Linked DNA regions of Schizosaccharomyces pombe. Changing the gene in region 2 together with the main gene of any one other region gives a genetic interaction. Each region holds a gene or a part of one and is shown on either strand. Other genes may lie near its edges.

Region 1 (6,395 bases), on a different chromosome or scaffold from region 2:
CATTCAAGATAAGCCACAGAGCCCCTTACACTGACTCCACACACGATGCTGGTCGATAAACCCCAGACTAATCGAATCTTAAAATTTACCACAAAAGTGACATGCTACCCATCCCTTAGTAGTCACTGTAATTATTGCTACACCAATAATGAACCAAATTTGTGGGTCCTTTCGACCATTCCTGCTTTGTTGAGTCCAAGTCGATGAATTAGCGTTTTACAAGATTACGAAAGCCATGCGGTAACGTTTGCTAAACCGAGAATCCTGAATACATATATTGGTGAATTTCTTCCATCTTAATTTAAAACGTGGGTGTTTGCTTACAAACGTTGGGAGTAGTATAAAGATCAAAAGATTGCGTTGCGAAGTAGTGTGTTAAGTACCTACTTCATTTATATACACATCGAGAAAGCTCTTGTAAAAAGGTTTTCCCTATAAGAAAAAGTCTTGCTGGAATTGTTTGTGTGTTTTTGTTGTATATAGCTTCACTACCATACCATCATACTGCTATACAAACCTGTCCTCAATTTACTTACCACTGTATTCTAAAGTACTCTGTAATTAATAGTATAGGGGTTAAGGTTTCTCGTTATGGATATCGAAAAGTCTGACAAGTGGACGTATGTGAAGGAGCGCAAAGTTGGTGAAGGAACGTATGCCGTCGTGTTCCTGGGTCGCCAAAAAGAAACTAATCGGCGTGTGGCTATTAAAAAGATTAAAGTGGGCCAGTTCAAAGATGGTATCGATATAAGTGCTTTACGAGAGATCAAATTTCTTCGGGAGTCAAGGCACGACAATGTCATCGAGTTAGTTGATGTATTCTCCACAAAGTCCAACCTCAACATCATCTTGGAATTCCTGGACAGTGATTTGGAAATGCTGATCAAAGACAAATTCATCGTTTTTCAACCTGCCCACATCAAATCGTGGATGGTCATGTTGTTACGCGGTTTGCATCACATTCATTCTCGCTTCATCCTTCATCGAGATTTGAAGCCTAATAACCTTTTAATTTCGAGTGACGGTGTCCTAAAATTGGCTGATTTTGGCCTTTCTCGTGATTTTGGCACCCCAAGCCACATGAGTCATCAGGTCATTACACGATGGTACAGGCCTCCAGAGCTATTTATGGGTTGTCGAAGCTATGGCACCGGTGTTGATATGTGGAGTGTAGGCTGCATTTTTGCAGAGTTGATGCTTAGGACCCCGTATTTGCCAGGCGAATCTGATCTGGATCAGCTTAACGTAATTTTCCGCGCTCTTGGAACTCCTGAACCAGAGGTCATTAAAAGCATGCAACAGCTTCCCAACTACGTTGAGATGAAACACATTCCTCCTCCTAACGGTGGTATGGAGGCTCTTTTTTCGGCAGCTGGCCATGAAGAAATTGATTTACTCAAGATGATGTTGGATTACAATCCATATCGTCGTCCCACTGCTCAACAAGCCCTTGAGCATCATTATTTTTCTGCCCTTCCTAAACCCACACATCCTTCTCTTCTCCCACGCAAAGGGGGTGAGGAAGGAATCAAGCACGTCTCTAGTGACCTGCAGCGACAAAACAACTTTCCAATGCGTGCAAATATTAAATTTGTTTAATGATTGATCGTGTGCTAGTATGCACCTTTAACTATATACCATTCTTTTCTCATTCATGTTTCCCTACAGAAAAATTGGAATGATGTGACTGTATGCGGATTTTTCTGTTTAGATAATTGTCATTCTATTTTTTAGACGTTTACTCTACTCGCTGATAATTTCGATATCAACGTTATACGAAAATATCTTCTACTTAGCTTCATTTCCTTGCGGTACTCTTTGAGGTATTATCGCCCATTGCTTAAGAGTTAATGGAAATTGATTGCTTTTTCTAACCATATTTCAGAATTATGGACACTCTTATTTTCATCTGATAATACAATACTCATTCCAACGTTTAATGATTTATGTAAACATGCAATCCATGTTTTTAACATATTTGGTAGTAAAGCTAGAATTATGATGTATTTATAAGATCGTTAAATCTCTTATATATAAGTTTTATACAATATGAATTAATCAATAGACTAGCGAAAGCCTTCTTGTAAATCGTACTCCAGCTTTTCTGGAAAACTGGTACGTCCAAAAACTCATTAAATTATTAACGTGGTACGTTACGGTTTCTAATTTAATTATTAAACGAGCGAGTACTTTGACAGTTAAATAGGCTACTGTGGTGCACTCGGCATCGATATTCTATACAAAGCAGTCACATCTTTTGACACTTGGCCAAAATTTTGGATATTGAATACTGCATCCACCAAAAATGGTTCGAGGTCCTAAAAAGCATTTGAAGCGTGTTGCTGCCCCTCACCACTGGCTTTTGGACAAGCTCTCCGGAACTTACGCTCCAAAGCCTTCTCCAGGTCCTCATAAGGCCCGTGAGTGCCTTCCTTTGATTGTTTTCTTGCGTAACCGTCTTAAATATGCTTTGAACGGACGTGAGGTTAAGGCTATCCTTATGCAACGTCTCATTAAGGTAGATGGAAAGGTTCGTACCGACTCTACTTTCCCTACCGGCTTTATGGATGTGATCTCCGTTGAAAAGACTGGTGAGCACTTCCGCCTTGTCTATGACATTAAGGGCCGTTTCACTGTCCACCGTATTACTGCTGAAGAGGCTAAATACAAGCTTTGCAAGGTCAAGCGTGTTCAATTAGGTGCTAAGGGTGTTCCTTTTCTCGTCACCCATGATGGACGTACTATTCGTTATCCCGATCCATTGATCAAGGTCAACGACACCATAAAACTTAACTTGGAAACCAACAAGATCGAGTCGTTCATTAAATTTGATACTTCCGCTCAAGTTATGGTTACCGGTGGTCGTAACATGGGACGTGTTGGTACCATTGTCCATCGTGAGCACCATCTTGGTTCCTTTGAAATCATTCATGTTAAGGATGCTTTGGACCGTGAGTTTGCTACTCGTCTTTCCAACGTTTTTGTCATTGGCGAGACTGGCAAGAGTTGGATTTCTTTGCCCAAGGGTAAGGGTGTCAAGCTCAGCATTACCGAAGAGCGTGACCGCAGACGTGCTCTCAAGGGACTTGCCTAAATATTATTTTTTCAAAAAGCAAATGCACATTTTGTTATAATATGATGGATGCGTTTTCGTAATTTTGTGTTGATTTTAAGACATGTAACTTTAAACTCATTTTAGATATGTCGCGTGCATAAGTAATAGTAGCATTAATAATTCTTGTAAATCGTTGTGTTGTGTGACCTGTCTTTTTAAAAATTCAATGATGATCTTCGATAATACTTTCGAATTCACCAGTTGGAGAGGTTTGTTAGCTAAAGAATGTGAATAATTTCTTAGTTGGATATGCGTGTTGGTAAAATACTCTAGTTTTCTTATTTGTTACTAAATTTCAAGTCAAACGTAATACAACAAAACAATTTCCTACGAGCGAAAGCGAGGTTAAATTTTTTTCTAGTAGAATTATATTTTTGAAAAAACTAACTGAGAAGAGTCACATTGTTGGCAGGTAAACATCAACAACCAAAAAGGCTACGTGAATAGTGAGCGCTTGGCCGCAAGTTTTATGGTTACTTAAACTCGTATCCTTATTTAGAATAATGACGAAATTGGACGTCTACCATAATACAGAGAGATACGCAATTTTCATAGACTTTAAGCATTGAAGCTGTAGTTGAATATCTTTGATTAAGCCGCTCTGCTGTAACAATTTGGAATTATTGACTTAATGTCTAGCGCTAAAAGAAGACTATACAGTTTAATTCGTAAGAAATTACATTACTTTATAGTTGCTAACTGCAGAAAATGCGACCGAGCCGTACGCTTTTGAACCAGATCTAGCGGTTAATTTGGATATCGCTGATTTGATTAATCAAACTGGCGGAAATTTGTAGGAAATTCACTTATAATATTGATTATACTAACGTGTTTATTATTTTATAGGCCTCGAGAAGCTGCCTTTGCCATTGTTCGTAAGGTCAATGATCGCAATCCAACAGTTGCCTATCTGGCTTTAAATGTATGTTCTGTTTTAATTTTTCACAACTTTGTTTTTCACTTAGAAGTTACTTCGCATTATTTGATATGGTACTGCTTTTATAACTTGTTTATTTTCTGAACGAAACAATCTTAAGTGCTGAACCTTCAGAATTCCAATCTGGTTATTGTGATTTGTATAAAATAGATTTTTGTTAAATTTATTATAAATTTTGCTGAGCCCTTTTTTTTTCACGTTTTTTTCAAATGCCTTTTGTGCTAACATTTTCTAGCTTCTTGATATTTGCGTCAAAAATTGTGGATATGCCTTTCGTTTACAAATTGCTTCTAAAGAATTCTTAAACGAATTAGTAAGAAGATTTCCAGAGCGCCCACCTTCTCGCTTGAACAAAATCCAAGTCATGATTCTTTCTTTAATTGAGGAATGGCGGAAAACCATTTGTCGTGTTGATCGTTATAAAGAAGACCTCGGTTTTATTAGGGATATGCACCGACTTTTATCTTACAAAGGTTTGTATTCAGTTAACTTGAAATCTCGATTATAATTTCCGAGTTAACCACTTTAGGCTATACATTTCCTGAAATCGATAAAGAGAATCTTGCTGTTTTAAGTCAAAAATCTGTTCTAAAAACAGCAGAAGAACTTGAAAAGGAAGACAGAGAAGCTATGTCTGCTAAACTACAGGAACTAATTCGTCGCGGTACTCCGGCAGATTTGGCTGAAGCCAACAAACTTATGAAAGTTATGGCTGGTTACGACACTGAGCAAAAGCAAAAATATAAGGAACATGTTCTCGTAGATTTAGAAAAAGTCAAAAGAAAAGCAGCTCTGTTTGGTGAAATGTTGAATGAAGTTTCTGAATCCGATAAACTAGCCAGTGGTGATTTGTACGATGAGCTGGCCTATTCCTTGAAGGCTGCTCAGCGTAAGGTTGATAAGATATTAGAAGAAATGAGTCCGGAAGATGACTCTTACGTGACTGTTAGCGATTTGAAATCGTTAATCGCATCTTTACTGACCCAATATGACCACTTACTGGAAGGCGATTTTTCATCAGCTCGTACCGTTGCTGCCGATAACAATTCGCTTCTTCAAGCTACTACTGAATCGGCAAAGAGTAATTCCAAAACCTCGGCTAATGCATCTAATACTCAAAGTGCCATGGATTTACTTATCGATTTAGACATAGGATCTGATGCTCAATCTCCTTCTTTACCAGCCTCATCTTCTCAAATGCCTACTTCTTCTTTTAATATGGAAAGTCTTTCGCAAAGTCTTTTGGGTACTGTCGAAGCGCCTGCCGAAGTTGGTGCCATCTCGCTTACTGAATCTTTCAATTCCCCCGTGTCTAATTCATCGCCCAATGTTCCCATTAACAATTTTACTTCTACTTGCGCATTTGAAAACTCTCACTTAAATTTTCAGATAACCCCTAAAAGTAAAACTAGAGATCAAGTAGTTTTACTGGCTACTTACACTAATTTAAGTCCCTATGATACTGTCGAGAATTTACAATCGTTTATTGCAGTTCCCAAGGTATGTTTATTTTTTTTACTGGATATGCTCTAACCTTCAATAGAAATATAATCTTGTACTTCAACCCCAATCTGGAACTAATCTTTCACCTCTCCAGAAAGACGGTATTTACCAGGAAATGATTGTGACTAAGTTACTGGATGTCACAGAACTACCTGTACGGTTTAAACTGACTTACAAGGTAAATGGTAGGTCCCAAGAATACACTGGTCAATCTTCAATTAGGCTACTCTAAAGTTTATCTTTATTATCACTAAGTATATCATTTACACTATCTAAGTAATTTCCTTATACCACTTAACAATTTCGTCGACTATGAAATACATTATGTAACGTAACAGAAGAGAAGCAAATTTTAAGTAACTAAGAATTGCACATTATTTTCCCCAATTTTTTAGTAAGCCTCATTTAAAAGTTGAGCTCTAATCCCACTGAATTCCAACCCATTCTACTGCATAACCAACTCTATCTTTGTTGATCGGAGGATTGCAATCCATCGAACATGTAGCGACCAGTATAGTAGACCATTCTGCTATTTCGTCATTGAGAATGGATATCGCATGTGGCATAAGCTGCATTTCGAATAAACGAGGCGATTTGCAAAGAGGGCACAGCGGCACCGGGCTTTTTCCAAAATTAGTAACAGACTTCAGTTGCTGACCGAGCTTATCTCTACCAGATGCAAGCAGTGGTGTACCACCTCGTTCATAACGTAGACATTGAGTTGGGTTATGGGATATCTTTTCGCTGAATAGTCTAAACGTTTTTTCATACACACTAGGGGATTTCTCATAACTTTCTTTCTCCCAAGCTTCACTGCTGTCATTCAAGTATGGGGTGTAA
Region 2 (8,997 bases):
TAAGATAGAAGCCGAGCTATTTTTAGAGTTACTTCTTTGGTATGAAGCAGAGCCAGGCAAGTATAAAGAAGAAGATGGAGATGACAAATTATTCAATCCACCGCCCATAGTCGCAGGCGGAACAAAAGTTGTTGATGAAGAGTGAGAAGTAGTGAAAGAAGGAGTGTTAGAAAGAAGGTTATAGGGAACGAAATTCGAAGATCCGAACGTGTATCCACTCATGCTAGTATTCCGGTTCATGTTCCCAGTACGGTTTCCGAAAGCGCCGGATGCCAAACCGCTTTCCACAGCGGCTTTTGAACCATTTGTTTTTCCGGATTTAGAAGATGAAGGGATCTCAGACAAAGCAATCGGCGCATTAGCGGCATATGGATCCCAAGAATTCGATTTCAATACATCTTTATTCTCAATATCAGAGTACTGTGAAGAAAAGACTGGAAGCGAATATTCTGTAGACATAAAGGATGGATGAGATTTAGAAGACTGCTCGGTCATGCTACGCTTATGTTTTGCGAAGGATTACCTGTTGTCATATATTAACAGTCCGTGGGATAAATTGTTCTTAGTGGGGGATTTTTCCCAAACTATTTCCTGTCCCGATACAAACAAAAAGATGTAGAGAAGAACGATACAACACAAAAAACACAACCTCTACTTTACTTTAAGCAGGCGACTGTACAGTGTGTGGAGTGGAAACCATGCTTACTGTGAGATGTATTGTACCGACAGCAGGTAACACTACGGGTAACGCAACTTACTAAGGAAGAAGCAGGAAGGATTTGAAAAAAAAGAGAAAATGTGAAATTTGTGCTTCGAAGACAAAAACAATTTTTTTAAATGCTAAGAATCATCCCAATTCAGTTTCGTTTCACTCTCTACATTTTTTCTTGTAAGGCGTAATGCCGTAGTTTGACAAAAAACAGATCCCATGAGGTGATTTGTAAGATACAACACCCGTTGGTATGCCTTTTAATGTTTTTAATAACATGTCTTAATGATTTTTATTGGGAGGACGGCTGAGAGAAATTGACGGCAGTCAGTGCATCCATTCCTTCGTTGCACATGTTGATTTTACTTTTACTCGAGAATAACGCCAGGCGGTTCTTTTTTTTAAGCAATAACTACATCATTCGAACATTAATTAATGCTTATAAGAGCTCTTCAAAAGTATCTATAAAGGTTGAGCCAGCTGGTATTTTTATGTCGGCAACTTGATACAATTGTTGTGTATGATTAGTCGCTACATATTTATTTCATAGATTTTCAGTGAAAATCAAATTTATTTTTGGATTCCTTCTTCAAAACTCATAAACAGCCGTCAACTTGTAAACAGAGGCTCACTAATAGATGACGCAATTTTCGCTTAACAACTGCTTAATGCACTCTAAAGATGATAGGTAAACAAGGTCTACTACTTTAGCAGATTAAGACAGTGAGCTGTATTTTGAATAAACATATGTATAAAAAAGCACATCTATTCCTCAAAAGCGTAATTTTTTTATTTTTATAGGTGATATCTTTACAACGTTGTGGGCGTTAAAGATTGTTATGTAAAGCAAAACAGAGAACTTGCTTAAGATTCTCTGAATTTTTAGGTTTCCCTAAAAAACCCACTGTTGGTTTATTTAATTTTCATTTAAGTCTGAAAAAGTCTTGTTTGTGCTATCAGAAAATGCAGTCGTCAATAGAGGATGTCCAAGCTAATATCAAATAGGTGTGGATTTCTTTGTGTAAAAGAAGTCGATTCCTATTCTTTTTTTTAATCTTTTTTGATTTCAAATTTACACTTTTAATAGGTTGTTGGCTTTAATGTCTATCCTCTTATTATTATATGTGGTGTGTTCATATTTTATGCACCTCTTCTTCTACAAACGACGCGTTTTAAAAAAAAATCCTTTCACCCATCCTAAATGATACTGATTTAAACAAAATGCATTTATTAACTACGACGCTTATTTCTTTTGAACAAAACAAAGTAGAATATTTAACCCAAATCGCGATTTATACTCAAACACCTGTATGCACTGATTCAAACTGTGAGCATGCTAGATTTTTAAAACACAGCCTTATTCAAGTTTCAATTGAAAGGATAGAATATTTATACTCGATATTTCCGAATATATGGCAATTCGCTTTGCTTTGCCAAGGTCAAAATAAAGAATCATTGATACATATGGAAGAAGACGCCAGCACGAATTTCAAACTACGATATTGTAAGTTCTGTCTATCAGTATAATGAAACATAATTTCAAAACCTCCCATTACCCATTTTTGACCTAGTTGATTTAATTTAAAAAAAAAAATTTATTAGAGAACGAAAAAAAAATCCGAAGCTATATATTTACTAATGCTAAATGAGTTTAGATGTACTTCCATGGTCTAGAAGACTGCAAGGATACCAGAGCATTACAGTTCAAAATGGTTCCCATGTGCCTTTAGTCAAACGATTGGAAAAGTGGAGGATATTCGTAGAATGTTAACATATAAACATAAGAAAAAAAAAAGACTGCAGAATACAAGAGATCAATGTCATTAATCAATGTTTACACTTTCAAACTCGTCAGAAGATTGTATAATTTCTGCTTCTTTGTTGGGTATTAGATTGTCATCAGCCGTAGGTTCCGAACTTTGCTTAACTGTAGTAATATTTAGATCTTCTTCTTTATCGAGCGCATTCAGTTGCAAGTTAGTAGTATGCGCTTTTTCTGGCTCTAAGACTTCAGAAACTTGAGGGATTTCCTCAATTGCACCGTTAGTACCAATATCTTCAGCTGCTGCGGGAGATGGCTTATCATCGTCTGAATTTTCCTTAGTATCTAAAGGGGCTTCGATTATTTTCTCATCTGTCAAGCCATTCGCATTTTCAGAATTAGCATTGTTTTTTTCAACCTCTTCGTTAGTTGCAGGTCCTTCTTGATTCAATAAAGATTTAACAGCGTTCTCTTCAATTATTTCGTTAGGTTCAGCTTCTTCCTCATTCGCTGAGGATTCAACAGTACTCTTTGTAACTGCTTCACCGGAGGTAGTTTCTTCTTGATTGATTAAAGATTCAGCGGCTGTATTATTTTCTTCTTTTTCATCTTCAAGTCCTTCAGTCTCCGGGGTATTGTTTTCTTCGTTCACGTTAATCTGCTCAACGGCTGGCAAAGAAGATGGTTTTTCTTGATGATTGTTAGCTTCAACTTCGGAAGTTTGCTGGGCAGCAGGTGTACTTTCCAGATTCGAATGTTCCTCAGCATCCTTTATTTGCATATCCTCTTCGGGATTTTCCTGCTTTGTAGAATTTTCTGGCTGATCCGCTTTGATGTTTTCCGAAGAAGTTGGAGCTTCATTGGGCTTACTAGAATCACTTCGTAAACCAATGTCGCTGGAAACATCGATTGATTGCTCAGCCTCAGTTTCAGGCGCTTCAGCCGGAACAGAAGCTGAACTAGATGGCTCAGCATTTGCACTATTTTGAGTTCCCTGTTGGGTTGTTTGCTGTGGAGCTTTAGCTGATGCAGCACCTTGAGCAACTTCAGCGGTATTCTTCGGTTGTTCGGTTGTAGCATTGAGATTTGGTGCAGCATTTTGCGCAGCTTCTACAGAATTAATAGAAGCGTTAGCATTGTAAGAAGCGCGATTTTCGATGTAAAAACCACTAACGTTCACCAAACGTCCTTCAGATTCGCATTTCAACAAATAATCCAAACCTAAAATAGGGATATTGGCAGCTTTTGCCTTTTCGTACTCAGGACCCCCAGTAGAAGAGCAGATAAAATGAGTTGTATCGATACGAACGCTAGTTTGAATTGGTCTAGCGTGAATGCGTTCAATACACTTTTGTAAAGCCTCCATCTCATTGGGAACCATGTTGCCAACACACACTTGAATTCCTGTGAGATCTATCATTCTTAACGTTTTGATGGTAATGTGTTTGCTGGGAAATGTTCCCGCAGTCGTATCCAAAACAAGGGAAAAATCGTATTCTGTATCGAGAGATAAGCCACTCAGCTTGGCATTGTGAGTAGTCATGGGATTAGATATGTTAAGCACTCGAACATTATTACGGTACAAGCAAAGGCTTTTGAGTCTCGCAGTGGAGAGTTGTAAAGGATCCCATTCCAATACAATGCTAGTCTGAGTAGCATTCTTTAACTTAAGAACAGGAGGAGACGGCAATTTTTGGCCATATGTTTCAAAAATTTCTTTTTGAACATCATCGAATGCAGTTTCTCTTGCTATCTCTTCCTCTTTATTGTGATGCACAGAGATATCGATTATAGAGCCTGCAGTCGCGTCATTCGGCAGCAACACGGATGGAAATTCTATAATATGAAATGAAGGTGTCAATAAGATGGCCATTCCCGCATCTATTTTGGCCACAGACACCATAAATTGATTTGTATCATCCATTTTAGATGCTATTATTGATAATCCCCTTTGGTTGTGGTGGAGTGTTTACCTTAACCAGCACTCTTACACTTCTAACTATAGGTAGCACTTGTTACCTAAGGAACCGTAGTAAAAATGTAGGTTATAATCATCTTTGTTTTGATAAATATCAAGAGTTGTTGTGATTCCCTGGTTTTTCACAATCTATTTACATATCAAACTTATATATTTTTTAAATTTTCTGGTTAGTATCATTATAAGCGTAATTCTAGTAAGGAAGACAATTACAATTTATTAAAATTATATACAAATATTTGAAGATATATTTAATTCAATCACTCAGTAAAAGTGAACGATTTAATATATGTAGTTTATTATTATATTTCAACGAGAATTCATACAAACAATATTACAAAAAAATCTGTTGATTTTTTCAATCATCTAAATTATTAAAATATTGGGCTATTATTATCTATTCTTCAGACTAAAGCATTTTAAGGGGAGCAAATATACTACTTTCTGATACAATTAAATTCTAAATTACGTTAAGTTACATTGATAGTAAACAAAAACAAATGCAGTACTGTTGAACCCAGTTGATGAATATATCTTAATTCGTAAACCGTGCTGCATTCAAAATTTAAAATACTACACGAATGAAGGATTAGACCACAATATCTGTTGAGCAAAATAGAAGTCGAAAAATAATACAATTGTTAATCTGGATATAAAACCACGTGTGAGCAAACTTAAAAAATATTTCCTAATTATCAGGTTTACACATTTCACTCTATAAAATTAATTAAGAATAGTGGTTTTTTAATACACCTATCAGTGCAATAATCAGTATAAAAAGAAGCTAGCTTCTAAAGGAAAAATATGAAAATAAGATAACAAATTTGCTCCCGTACTAAGTACTTTTGAAGAATTAGAAAAAAGCCGTAGACAAATGGAATATCGAGGCTAATCTGTATACATTAAAACATTATCCATCTTTATGCTATAGGGTTATCCATATAAAGAGCGGAATAGAAAAGAAATACCGAGAAGGAAACAAAAATTCTATTTACCATCTTAAGTACGGAAAGTAATGATAATTTTGTATCCATAAAGATTTCCTTTGTCAAGCAAGCAAGGCCCATGATATGTATGGTGAGGTGTAGAAAGAAGAAAAGAGGAAAAAGCAATACAGGCCAAAACCAAATTGCTCAACAAAAAACCAACCTGGTATTCACTATCATTGACCCGTCAGTCATCAAGTATGTATATGCAAGAAAAATAAAAACGAATAAAGGATCTTGAGAAAAAATGCGTTATCTCTTTGCAAAAAAAGTGGCCCTGTCTACATCAGAAGCTTTTTTCTTAAAATTCGATTTATAGGTTGTTGTGTCAGGCAAGAGAGAAAGAAAGAGAGAAGGAAGAAAAAAACCAGAGACAAAAATACGCTTGAAAAAAAAGTATTCAAACAGCAAATATTTTGACTCGGCATGCGACTAAGCTACATGATACATCTTCTTACTTGCCATGAAATTTTGTTGCGATAGGAACAATAATGACAACAAGTAAAATGATGATACCAATGATAATGCAAAGACGCATACGCATGTCCTTCCACCACATCTTCTTGCGAACACGATTGGCGCCACGACGGAAGCCTTGCGCGCTAACAGCAAGGTTATCTTAAAGAAGTTAGCTAAACGTTCAAAAAAAAAATTTAACTGTTAACAAAAATAAATATCATACCTGTTTTATCTTGTAAAGAATCAAGGCGTTCTCCACGTTCTGAAACCTTAGAAATGTTTTCACGCATAATCCCCACAGTATCGTCAATCTGCTGCTGAATTGCAGCTGTCTTCATATTCGGCGTCGACGAAGCAGCAGCATTTCCACTACGAACAGCTGCAGAAGGCTCCGCCGGGATATATGGGTCATATGGCTCAGACATGGTCGTATGTGTTAGTTGGTGGAGGATTTATTTTTGCGCTCGGTTGGAGTTGATGTGTACCAATTCGTTAATCCTCTTTCCATTGCGTTAAACATCTGGCTTTGTAATGTTGGGTTGCAAAGCAGTTTTGTGATTATACTTATATAAATTAAAGAAAAAAAATAAAATAAAGTAATAAAATTACTTCTTGCCTTTTTACAATAAGAAACATGTAACTAGCTGTACCCTCATAGTAAATAACGTAAACAAATCCTTAGTATTGGTGAATTTGGGAGGAACCAACTACGCCCTTTGGAATAGAGATTTGGAAACACGTCTTGTTTCTTGGCGATTTGAGCTGTTCATAACAATATATTTCTTCTTCTAAATTTCCTTGAGTTATGAAATTTTTATGAAAGTTTTAACTTTCACATAGTGTTAAAAGGTCTCCTCTCATCGCTGTAGCGTCCGAAACGTTATTTGTTATTTTATTCTTGAGATCTTTTGTAAATAAAATTTTATTTACGTTACGATTTACGTCTGGATTAGGGTTTTGGTTTTGGCACTTGCAATATTAGATTTTTCCTGGGTTTTTGGTCTATCGGTGAAACAACGTTTATTTGGGTCCATTTAATCATACATTTATTAGAAAAAAGTCTTTAAAAAAGAGACAATACTCACTTACCTACATTTCTTTTGTTTGTTTTTTTGTTTTCACTCTTTTATCAGAAAAACAGGTTGAAATTTCCAAAAAAAATATTATTTACTTCATAACATTAAAAAAATATTAAATTTGATTGTTACAAATGGCGGAGAATCTTAGCGATCAAGATTGTTTTGAAAAATTATCGTCTAGTAAAGAGGGTCAGCATTGGTTTTGCTCAGGACTACTGACTCAGTATATACAACCTACCTTCTTTTGGTTTGCACATGATGAAACTCCGAGCTTTAAATGGGTATTAAATGCCTATCATGAGCGTTTACGCTCTTGTACTTCTTGTATACAAGCTTATTATGAACTTCGAAATGAATCCCTTGCGAAAGGTTCATATTCTTTTACTGGGTTTTCAATTACCGATTTACAGGAAAAGTGGAATAAATGGGATATTATCCGTGTCTTAGAGGACTTCAAGGCCCTGGAGGATGAAACAATTGACTTCACGTCTTTGCCTTGCTTAATTTTCGAAACCCTCTTGAATCCTAAATTGTTTACCTGTAAAAATATTTATAAAAATGCAATAGATGCATTTAATGGTCTACTTTCAGATTGGTGTTCTAATATATTTCTTCCTGGTTATTTACTATTTTTCTATGAAGCTTCCCATCCCGATGTTTTGGAATGGGTTCATAGCTTTTTTAAGGAAAATACTGAAATAAGAATTTCTTCTGCTACAGTTGACGCCGTTTTTAATACTGTAGTGTTTGAAAGTCAAAATTCCTCTGACAGTGATTGTAATTTCGTGTCTATAAGTAGTCCTGAATTTTGGGAACGTACTTACATGTTTTTAGAACTTCTTCCTTTACAATCCATTACTGCTGCATGTGAGTCCATTTTAAAAGATTATCTTTTAAATTTGGTAAAGACTTCTGAATCTCTATCCTCTCAACAAATGTCCTGTCTTCGAATTTGCTGCAATTCCTCATCCTTTTGGTCTGCCGCTGATTCATTTAAGGAAGTGTCTTCTTTCTTAAAAAACTTGCTAAAAAATGTTACAGCTACACCTTTTGAAGTATCTGACATGAACTGGGCTTACATTATTGCTTCATTTTTTCGCACATGTTTAAATGACTTTGTTAGTGTTTTTCCGGAATGGCTTAAAGGATTTGTAGAAGAGAAGCGTACTATAGGTTTCATCATTTATTCGGTTTTGGATGCGTTATTTGATCTATTATCGCTAGATTACAGCTCTCCTTCATTTCTTAACAATACACTATCGTTGATGAATGCTAATAGCATCACTATTTTACAAGATTATCCGGAGTACATGCTGAAACTCAGATTGCACTCTTTACTTTATGACATTGCATTTATAAGTTGGTCTCATAAGGCAATCACTAAAAATCCCTCATTTGTTTTCGATCCTTCATATGAACTCTCTCCTTTTTGGAAGCTTGACAATCTACAGGAAGAAAAAATATCTGACGTCCTTTTCTCTAAAATTTCAAGTTGTTGCTTTGCCCACGATATTGAAATATCCGAAAATTCTACACCGTCTGGAACCATGGTGCAGTTTGCTGAACTATGGCAAGTAATGTCGGAATATATCAGTGGATTTTTAAAAGGATTTTCTGAAAAGTCGTCTACTGAAATTTCAAATATGCTGGGAGATTCTTCAAAATTTGACACAGTTGTATCATTTCTGTTATCTCCTACTCAGCCGCTCTATGTTAGTGCTTTTCATATTGTCCAAATAATTACCAATTGCACTAAAAACAGGAATGAGGCTCTTAAAAAACTGGTTGCAATGGATTTTCGAGGAATTGTGCATGGTCTAGCTGATGCTGTTCTTAACTGGCAATCTATTTTAAGCTTCTTTCCTGCTCTTCGAATTATGAGATTTTTGAGCATTACTAATAAATCCTTATCATCTGACAATTCTGCTTTCACAGAAAATGACATACCTACCTTGGGTGCTTATTGGCAGTGCATCTGGAACATATTGGATTTAGTTTTTTCCAACGTTGCCAGATGGTCGCTT
Region 3 (6,443 bases), 790 kb from region 2:
TTGTAAGTGTAATTTTATTTAAAAGTCTAAACTTATGATCATATTAAAATACGCACATTTCGTATATATACGTGCTCAGTTGATTAGTGAAGACGAACATATAAATGATGAACGCTATAGAACAAAAAGTATTAAACTGAGACAAGTGTTTGCTACACAGTTTGGTATCCGATTTAAGGATACGTAGAACTGCGGTGAGTTTTCCTTGTGGTCTATTATATTACAATACACAGGTTGTATAAGTAGCAACTGAGTATAGGTATTGTATTAACTGGGTTATAATGTTACCTATCACTAATATAGCTCATAACTGAACTGAGGAACGAGGTTCAGCAGTAGCTCTATTTATAGTATTCAGATAATATTGATCTTAATAGATTATCATTAAGATCAATCTCCATATCGTATCATACATGGTACGATATATAATTAGAACATGTGACATATAGTGATACGCAACGTAGTGTATCATAGCGTAGTGTAGTATTGCTGACATTAGTTCGCGACCTATCCCCATGCAAAAAATATTTTCGGCATTAGTGTTAAGAACGAGGTGCATACAACTTTCGCATTGCAAACAGCTAGTTGCATACTGCAAGTGTAATTTTTTTTAATTTAATAATTTAAGATGCTTCGTCGTGCTGTTAGGGAAAGAAGACAGTTCATTTATAAGAGAAATCAAGAACTTCAAGAAGCAAAACTCAATGAAAAACGACGTGCATTAAGAAAAGCATTGGAAGGTAACAAAGAATTGAACAAAGATTTGCAGGAAGACAGTCAACTTCAAAAGGATTATAAATATGATGAAAGCAGAGCAACTCAAGAAGAGACAGAAACCAACCTTGACGATGAGTACCACCGTCTGGGTGAGAGGGAGCCAAAAGTTTTAGTTACCACCAGTCGAGAGCCCTCATCTCGTCTAGCGCAATTTGCAAAAGAAGTACGTCTCTTGATTCCCAACTCATATCGACTCAATCGTGGTAATATCGTTGTCGGAAGCTTGGTAGAAGCCGCTCGTGCCAATGATATTACCGATATAGTCATTTTGCACGAACACAGAGGTATCCCTGATGGTCTTGTAATTTCTCATCTTCCTTATGGTCCTACCTTGTCATTTTCTTTACATAACGTGGTTCTTCGTCATGATATCCCTAATACTGGTACCATGTCAGAAGCGTATCCACATCTTATTTTTGAAAATTTGACTTCAAAGTTGGGAAAGCGCGTTAAAACAGCTCTTTCTGCTTTATTTCCTCCAGACCCTAAAGATACTACACCACGTGTGGTTACATTTGCTAACACTGATGATTATATCAGTTTCCGTCACCACATTTACGCCAAAACAGGCCCAAAGCAGATTATTCTATCTGAGGCTGGTCCTCGCTTTGAGATGAAACTATTTGAAATTACCCTCGGCACCGTTGATATGGTAGACGCTGATGTGGAATGGAAATTGAAGCCTTACCAGCGTCACAAACGTGATGTTTTAGCTGAATGAGCGTAGGTATGATGGGTATGGTCAAACGGTTATTTTAGGTTCATTTGGGATACAGGTAAATAATTACAATTCTTTTATGTATAGGCAAGGCCATTAGAGTGAATGGTATCTTTGATAAATAAGGAGGCAAAACTTTCTAGTATTAGTGGTTAATGGTTATACTATTCAAAACATTAGTGAAGTAGAACATATATCAGTAGCGATTGTACTTGGGTTCCTTTTTTATATTTTAATTAGTTTACTTGAGCAATGTTTATGTACAGCTTAAAGTTTAAGCACTGTATTTGTCTTTTTAAAAATACCAACCTTTTAACTTCGGACCTACGTTATTATGGTGAATATTCCAACCAAATGACATTCCATATTTTTCGCTAAACTTCTATTTTTTTGATTTCTTGATTTTCTTCTTCTTGTATTGCTTTTCAACTTCATCAATTTGGGCATCGGCAGCTTTTATTAGTTTTTCAGCAAATTCCGGATCGGTAATTTCTTTGCGTGAATATTCAACTATCGAACATTCATTTACAAGGACGGGTTGAGTAATCGAAGCAAATTCGGGACTGCAAATAGCATGAAAAAATGATTGAGCACCATGAATAGTACCTTTCAGAAGAAGCCACCAAAACGGCCAAAGTAACAAATAAAGAAATAATCCCCAAACCTTTCCAAAGGATACAACTCTTCGAAATCCTGGAGTTCGAACGACACCTGGATTTGCCATGATGGTATGTAAATTACACGGCATTTTGTCAGGTCGTTCATGAGCTTCAGCTTTTTTCTGAAAATCATAAAGATAAGTCATCAAGGCAAGTTTGGCATTTCCCACTACCTTCCAGGGACTTTTTCGAGGATATGGATGATTAGATAAATCAAGATCGTTGAAATCTATATTACCTAAAATATATGATGAACAGGTAGCTGCAACAATTCGTACTTCCCTGTGCCCGGGCTGACCATATATAACTGGGCGGAGAATCCTAAGTAGCTGGTATGGACCTAAGAAATTTGTAGCCCATTGCAACTCAACACCTTCCTCGGTAGTTTGCCTATCCATAAATGGAGGCAGTAAAACTCCACTGCACAAAACTATCATATCCAGCCTACGAATAGGAGTGCAATCAATCCACTTTGTAGCGAACTTCCTAACAGATAACATAGAGCTCAAGTCACAGACTTCAGTATAAATTAGTTGGTTTTTTGTACGCTTTCTAAGGTCCATTATGTAATCTACAGTAAATTGATCTGGCTCTGTACGAAGTAGAATAACAACTTGAGCTCCCAGAGAAGCTAATTTCTCTACGACAACTTGTCCTATTCCAGAACTTCCCCCAGTGACCATGACTACCATTCCGTTCATTTTACGCTCCCAAGTTGTTGTTCGTCCAGAAGTCCAGAATTTAAAGGCCGCAATTGTTGAAACCGCAATCGCAGCCTTTGTATATTGAGCCCAATGTGTAATTAGATGCTCATACTTAAATTGTGCTATGTGAGCAATAATTGGAATAGGCATATTTCGTTGATTTACAAAATCTGTTGATGGAGTTGGCAAAAGGCAGCTACATACCACTGACATTGAGGTATACTAAACTCGTCTTCATATTTAATTCTTAACAATCAAAAATTTAAAACTTTTTTTTATACAATTGTTTTAACTTTAGATGGATTTAATTGTACAATTATTTAATCGCTTGACTGCTAGTGCATATTACTAATAGCAACTAGCTCCATAAATTTGACAAAGATAGGATTGAATTGTTTTTGTATATATACATAATGTAATTTATGGACCGTAAAACAGATTGCTTACAAATTGGAAAGTAAAATAGACTGTTTATATGATATATATGTGAAATTTGAAGATATACTAAATACTTGTTTTAACATAGGAAAATTAAGTATGTGTATACTACAACATTTGACATATTATTTTTTATAATATTTCAAGAAACACTGTGATAGTATATAATTCGCATAGCAAATATAAATTATTACGGTCTGTCTTATTAGCACCTACCAGAAGTACAGCACTCAATGGTGAGGTATCGTTTTCCTTCTTTGCTTATTTATGGTACCTTCAAAAAGGCTGAAACTACATTGCACGCTTTAGCTTGATCTACCTAATGAGTCTATAAACATCATCGATATTTACGACAATTAGTGTTCTCTCAATACTTGCTTTACTATATTTGCCGCTCTGCACTATCAACCGTTATACCGAGATGTGCTAAGCTGCCCGCACTATTACTTAGCAAGTTTGAGCCACGAACAATCTGTTATTGCTGTCGAGAACCAAACTCTTTCTCAAATTGAATTTTATTGGAAAGGAGGATTTACAATACATTATTTTGCCATAATTTCAAACAATCAGAAGAATTGTGCCAAAGTTGTTATACTTCACCTGCTGCTTTTGTTTATTAGGAATTTTTGAAGGCCATTGGTTATTTGTTTGGTGACAATTTAGCTTACAAATAATAAAAAGATTTCTTTTGTTTCTTAATTTCGGTTTTTCTTTTCTTCTCTATTTTCATAACGATGTCTCGGTGGTGGAATTCCAATTCTCAGTTTGCTTCCGACATAGAAAAGGCTACATCGGAAACGCTTCCTGCTGGCTCTGAAGAAATTTCATTATATTTAGAAATTTCTGATCAAATACGTAGTAAGTCTGTTGATCCGAAATTTGCTATGCGTATTCTTAAATCCCGAATTGATCATTCGAATCCGAATGTTCAAATAATGGCATTGAAGTTGACAGATACCTGCGTTAAAAATGGGGGTTCCGGTTTTTTATTGGAAATAGCTTCTAGAGAGTTTATGGATAATTTGGTATCTATTCTACGATCTCCTGCAGGAATAGACGAAGACGTTAAAATGGTCATTTTACGATACATTCAGTCTTGGGCTTTGGCAGTTCCAGATACCAATTCTCCACTTAGTTATATTATTCATGTTTATCAAAATTTAAAAGACGGTGATTATGAGTTCCCTGAGCCTTCTCAGAACATTACTAGCAAATTTTTAGATACTGAAACACCGCCCGATTGGACAGATAGTGAAGTTTGTCTTCGTTGTCGTACACCTTTTACATTCACTAATCGTAAACACCATTGTAGAAATTGCGGTGGCGTGTTTTGCAATCAATGTTCTTCAAAAACACTTTCTCTTCCTCACCTTGGAATTAACCAGCCTGTTAGGGTATGCGACAGTTGTTATTCATTACGTACGAAACCCAAAGGTTCCAAATCAAGAGCGCGAAATGAAAGGAAATTCCATGCGAAGACTAGAAAGACACCCTCTAAACCCGTAACTAATAATGAAGACGAAGATATCAAAAGAGCTATTGAGCTTTCCCTCAAAGAAATGCCTCAATCACGAGAACCTCCATCTTATGAAAGACCTTCAGAGGCCAATGTAGTTATTAGTCAAGACCAACATCTTACAGAAGACGAAGATGAAGAGCTTAAACGTGCTATTGCTATCAGCCTTGAGGAAGCACAGAAGTCATCTCAAAAGGATGACAATGTTACGGCACCTAACAATATGAATATTTCTTACCCTAGTGTTCCAGCTCACACCGTTTCAACTGATATTCGATCATCTCCTTTCTCTGGTAGGCCGAGTGATAATCCTTCTACTTTAATTTCTACTGCGGATGCTGATAACATCACTTTATATGCTACTTTGGTGCAAAAGTTAAAAAAGCTACCACCTGGGTCTATTTTTACGGAATATCAGCTACAGGAACTCCACGAAAATATGGGTGTTATGCGAACTCGTATGATGCGATCGCTTGGTGAAACAATGAGTAAATATAACGGGCTAATTCAAGCTTTGCAAAAGCTCCAAACTTGTATGCGATTGAATGATGCTCTAATAGAACAAAGACTTTCATCCACGTATGCACATCATTATATTGATTCTAGCATGGATTCAAACCGATCAATTGAACCTGAGCCGGATGTAATTAGCACTGTGAGGAATAGTTCAACCATTCCCCAGGCTTCGTCTTCTTCTGTCCCGAAAATCGTTGTCGATTCGTCTCCGGTAACAGAAAATCCCCCTAGTCATTCTGATGTGATGGGTCAGAAAGATACTATCTCCAGTTATTACTCGACGGATACAGACGTTTCTGCGAATGTAATGGGAAATCGACACGATGAAGTTGTATTTTCTGACACCGCATCTGGTGAAAAGAATACAAAATTAAATATCGATGAAAGTACCAACTATTATAATACTGATTCAATCGATAAAGTTGGAGAGCCTTTTGACGAAATTTCCTCTGGTTATGATGATTTAATGAATGGCAATGATAAGCAAGGTAATGATATTCCTGAAGTTCAAGAAGCATCTTTAATCGAGCTTTAGGTTTTAAACATCTTATAATACATATTAAATACTTAGATCAATTTATCGACAATGCATGTCTGTTTACGATCCTTTTAATATTTTTTTGTTTTTCAAAATTGATCAATTGTAACCTAAAATTCAGAATGGTGAATACATACGTAAACTAAACTAATAAACGACTATAGACTCCGAACCTGGGTAGTTATTTGTAAATCAAGCGCTCTCAGTCTCCACAGTTGCGGCAGAGACTGCTTCATTTGAAAAAGCCTCCTTGGAGTTTTTCCAGTCAACAGTTGAAGCATCAAAAGGTGAAAATTTGAGGTAACACATATCTTGAGGAAATGTCGTAGCGAAAATCATTTGAGTATCAGAGTCAGGGGTTCTTTTATGTTTCCAATCAAGCATGATACTGGCCTTTCCAATGCAAGCAATTAAATGATTAACGGCATAACGCTGGCCCAAACATACATGAGGACCATTACCAAAAACCATCCAATTCTTAGGACTTTGCTCGGCAAGACCATTTGGTGCCCAGCGGTCAGGATTAAATGTTTCTGGCTCTGGATAAACCTTAGAATCGTGAAGTGCACCATAGAGG

What was found. Genes that interact genetically often act in the same process or in processes that back each other up.
Region 1: mutations in cfr1 (region 2) and gga22 impair growth when combined (synthetic growth defect), as found in Schizosaccharomyces pombe (one study listed by BioGRID).
Region 3: of cfr1 (region 2) and sst4, changing one enhances a phenotype caused by changing the other (phenotypic enhancement), as found in Schizosaccharomyces pombe (one study listed by BioGRID).

Annotation. Positions count from the first base shown.
Region 1 is NC_003423.3:3,242,838-3,249,232, forward strand, and holds gga22 (adaptin), read left to right. Parts: upstream 1-3,704; 5' UTR 3,705-3,746; coding exon 3,747-3,783; intron 3,784-3,820; coding exon 3,821-3,908; intron 3,909-3,961; coding exon 3,962-4,037; intron 4,038-4,287; coding exon 4,288-4,525; exon of another isoform or gene 4,526-4,581; coding exon 4,582-5,552; intron 5,553-5,595; coding exon 5,596-5,787; 3' UTR 5,788-5,895; downstream 5,896-6,395. Other genes in the region: transcription factor TFIIH associated cyclin-dependent protein kinase Mcs6, read left to right, coding at 592-1,599; rps401 (40S ribosomal protein eS4), read left to right, coding at 2,306-3,094; tsr401 (20S rRNA accumulation protein 4), read right to left, coding at 5,975-6,395.
Region 2 is NC_003424.3:3,265,633-3,274,629, reverse strand, and holds cfr1 (CHS5-like protein Cfr1), read right to left. Parts: upstream 4,434-8,997; 5' UTR 4,396-4,433; coding exon 2,533-4,395; 3' UTR 2,481-2,532; coding exon of another isoform or gene 2,365-2,480; 3' UTR 2,263-2,364; downstream 1-2,262. Other genes in the region: puf4 (RNA-binding protein), read right to left, coding at 1-495; bouquet formation protein Bqt1, read left to right, coding at 1,931-2,213, 2,365-2,480; syb1 (synaptobrevin family receptor), read right to left, coding at 5,890-6,053, 6,118-6,319; helicase Sen1, read left to right, coding at 7,105-8,997. UniProt on the Schizosaccharomyces pombe protein: Required for cell fusion, independently of fus1. Appears to have a role in transporting proteins that are involved in mating. May act as a scaffold to retain cell fusion proteins in the cisternae of the Golgi.
Region 3 is NC_003424.3:2,474,089-2,480,531, forward strand, and holds sst4 (ESCRT 0 complex subunit sst4), read left to right. Parts: upstream 1-3,782; 5' UTR 3,783-4,030; coding exon 4,031-5,863; 3' UTR 5,864-5,943; downstream 5,944-6,443. Other genes in the region: U3 snoRNP-associated protein Imp4, read left to right, coding at 629-1,498; pbr1 (putative dehydrogenase), read right to left, coding at 1,878-3,008; C-22 sterol desaturase Erg5, read right to left, coding at 6,059-6,443.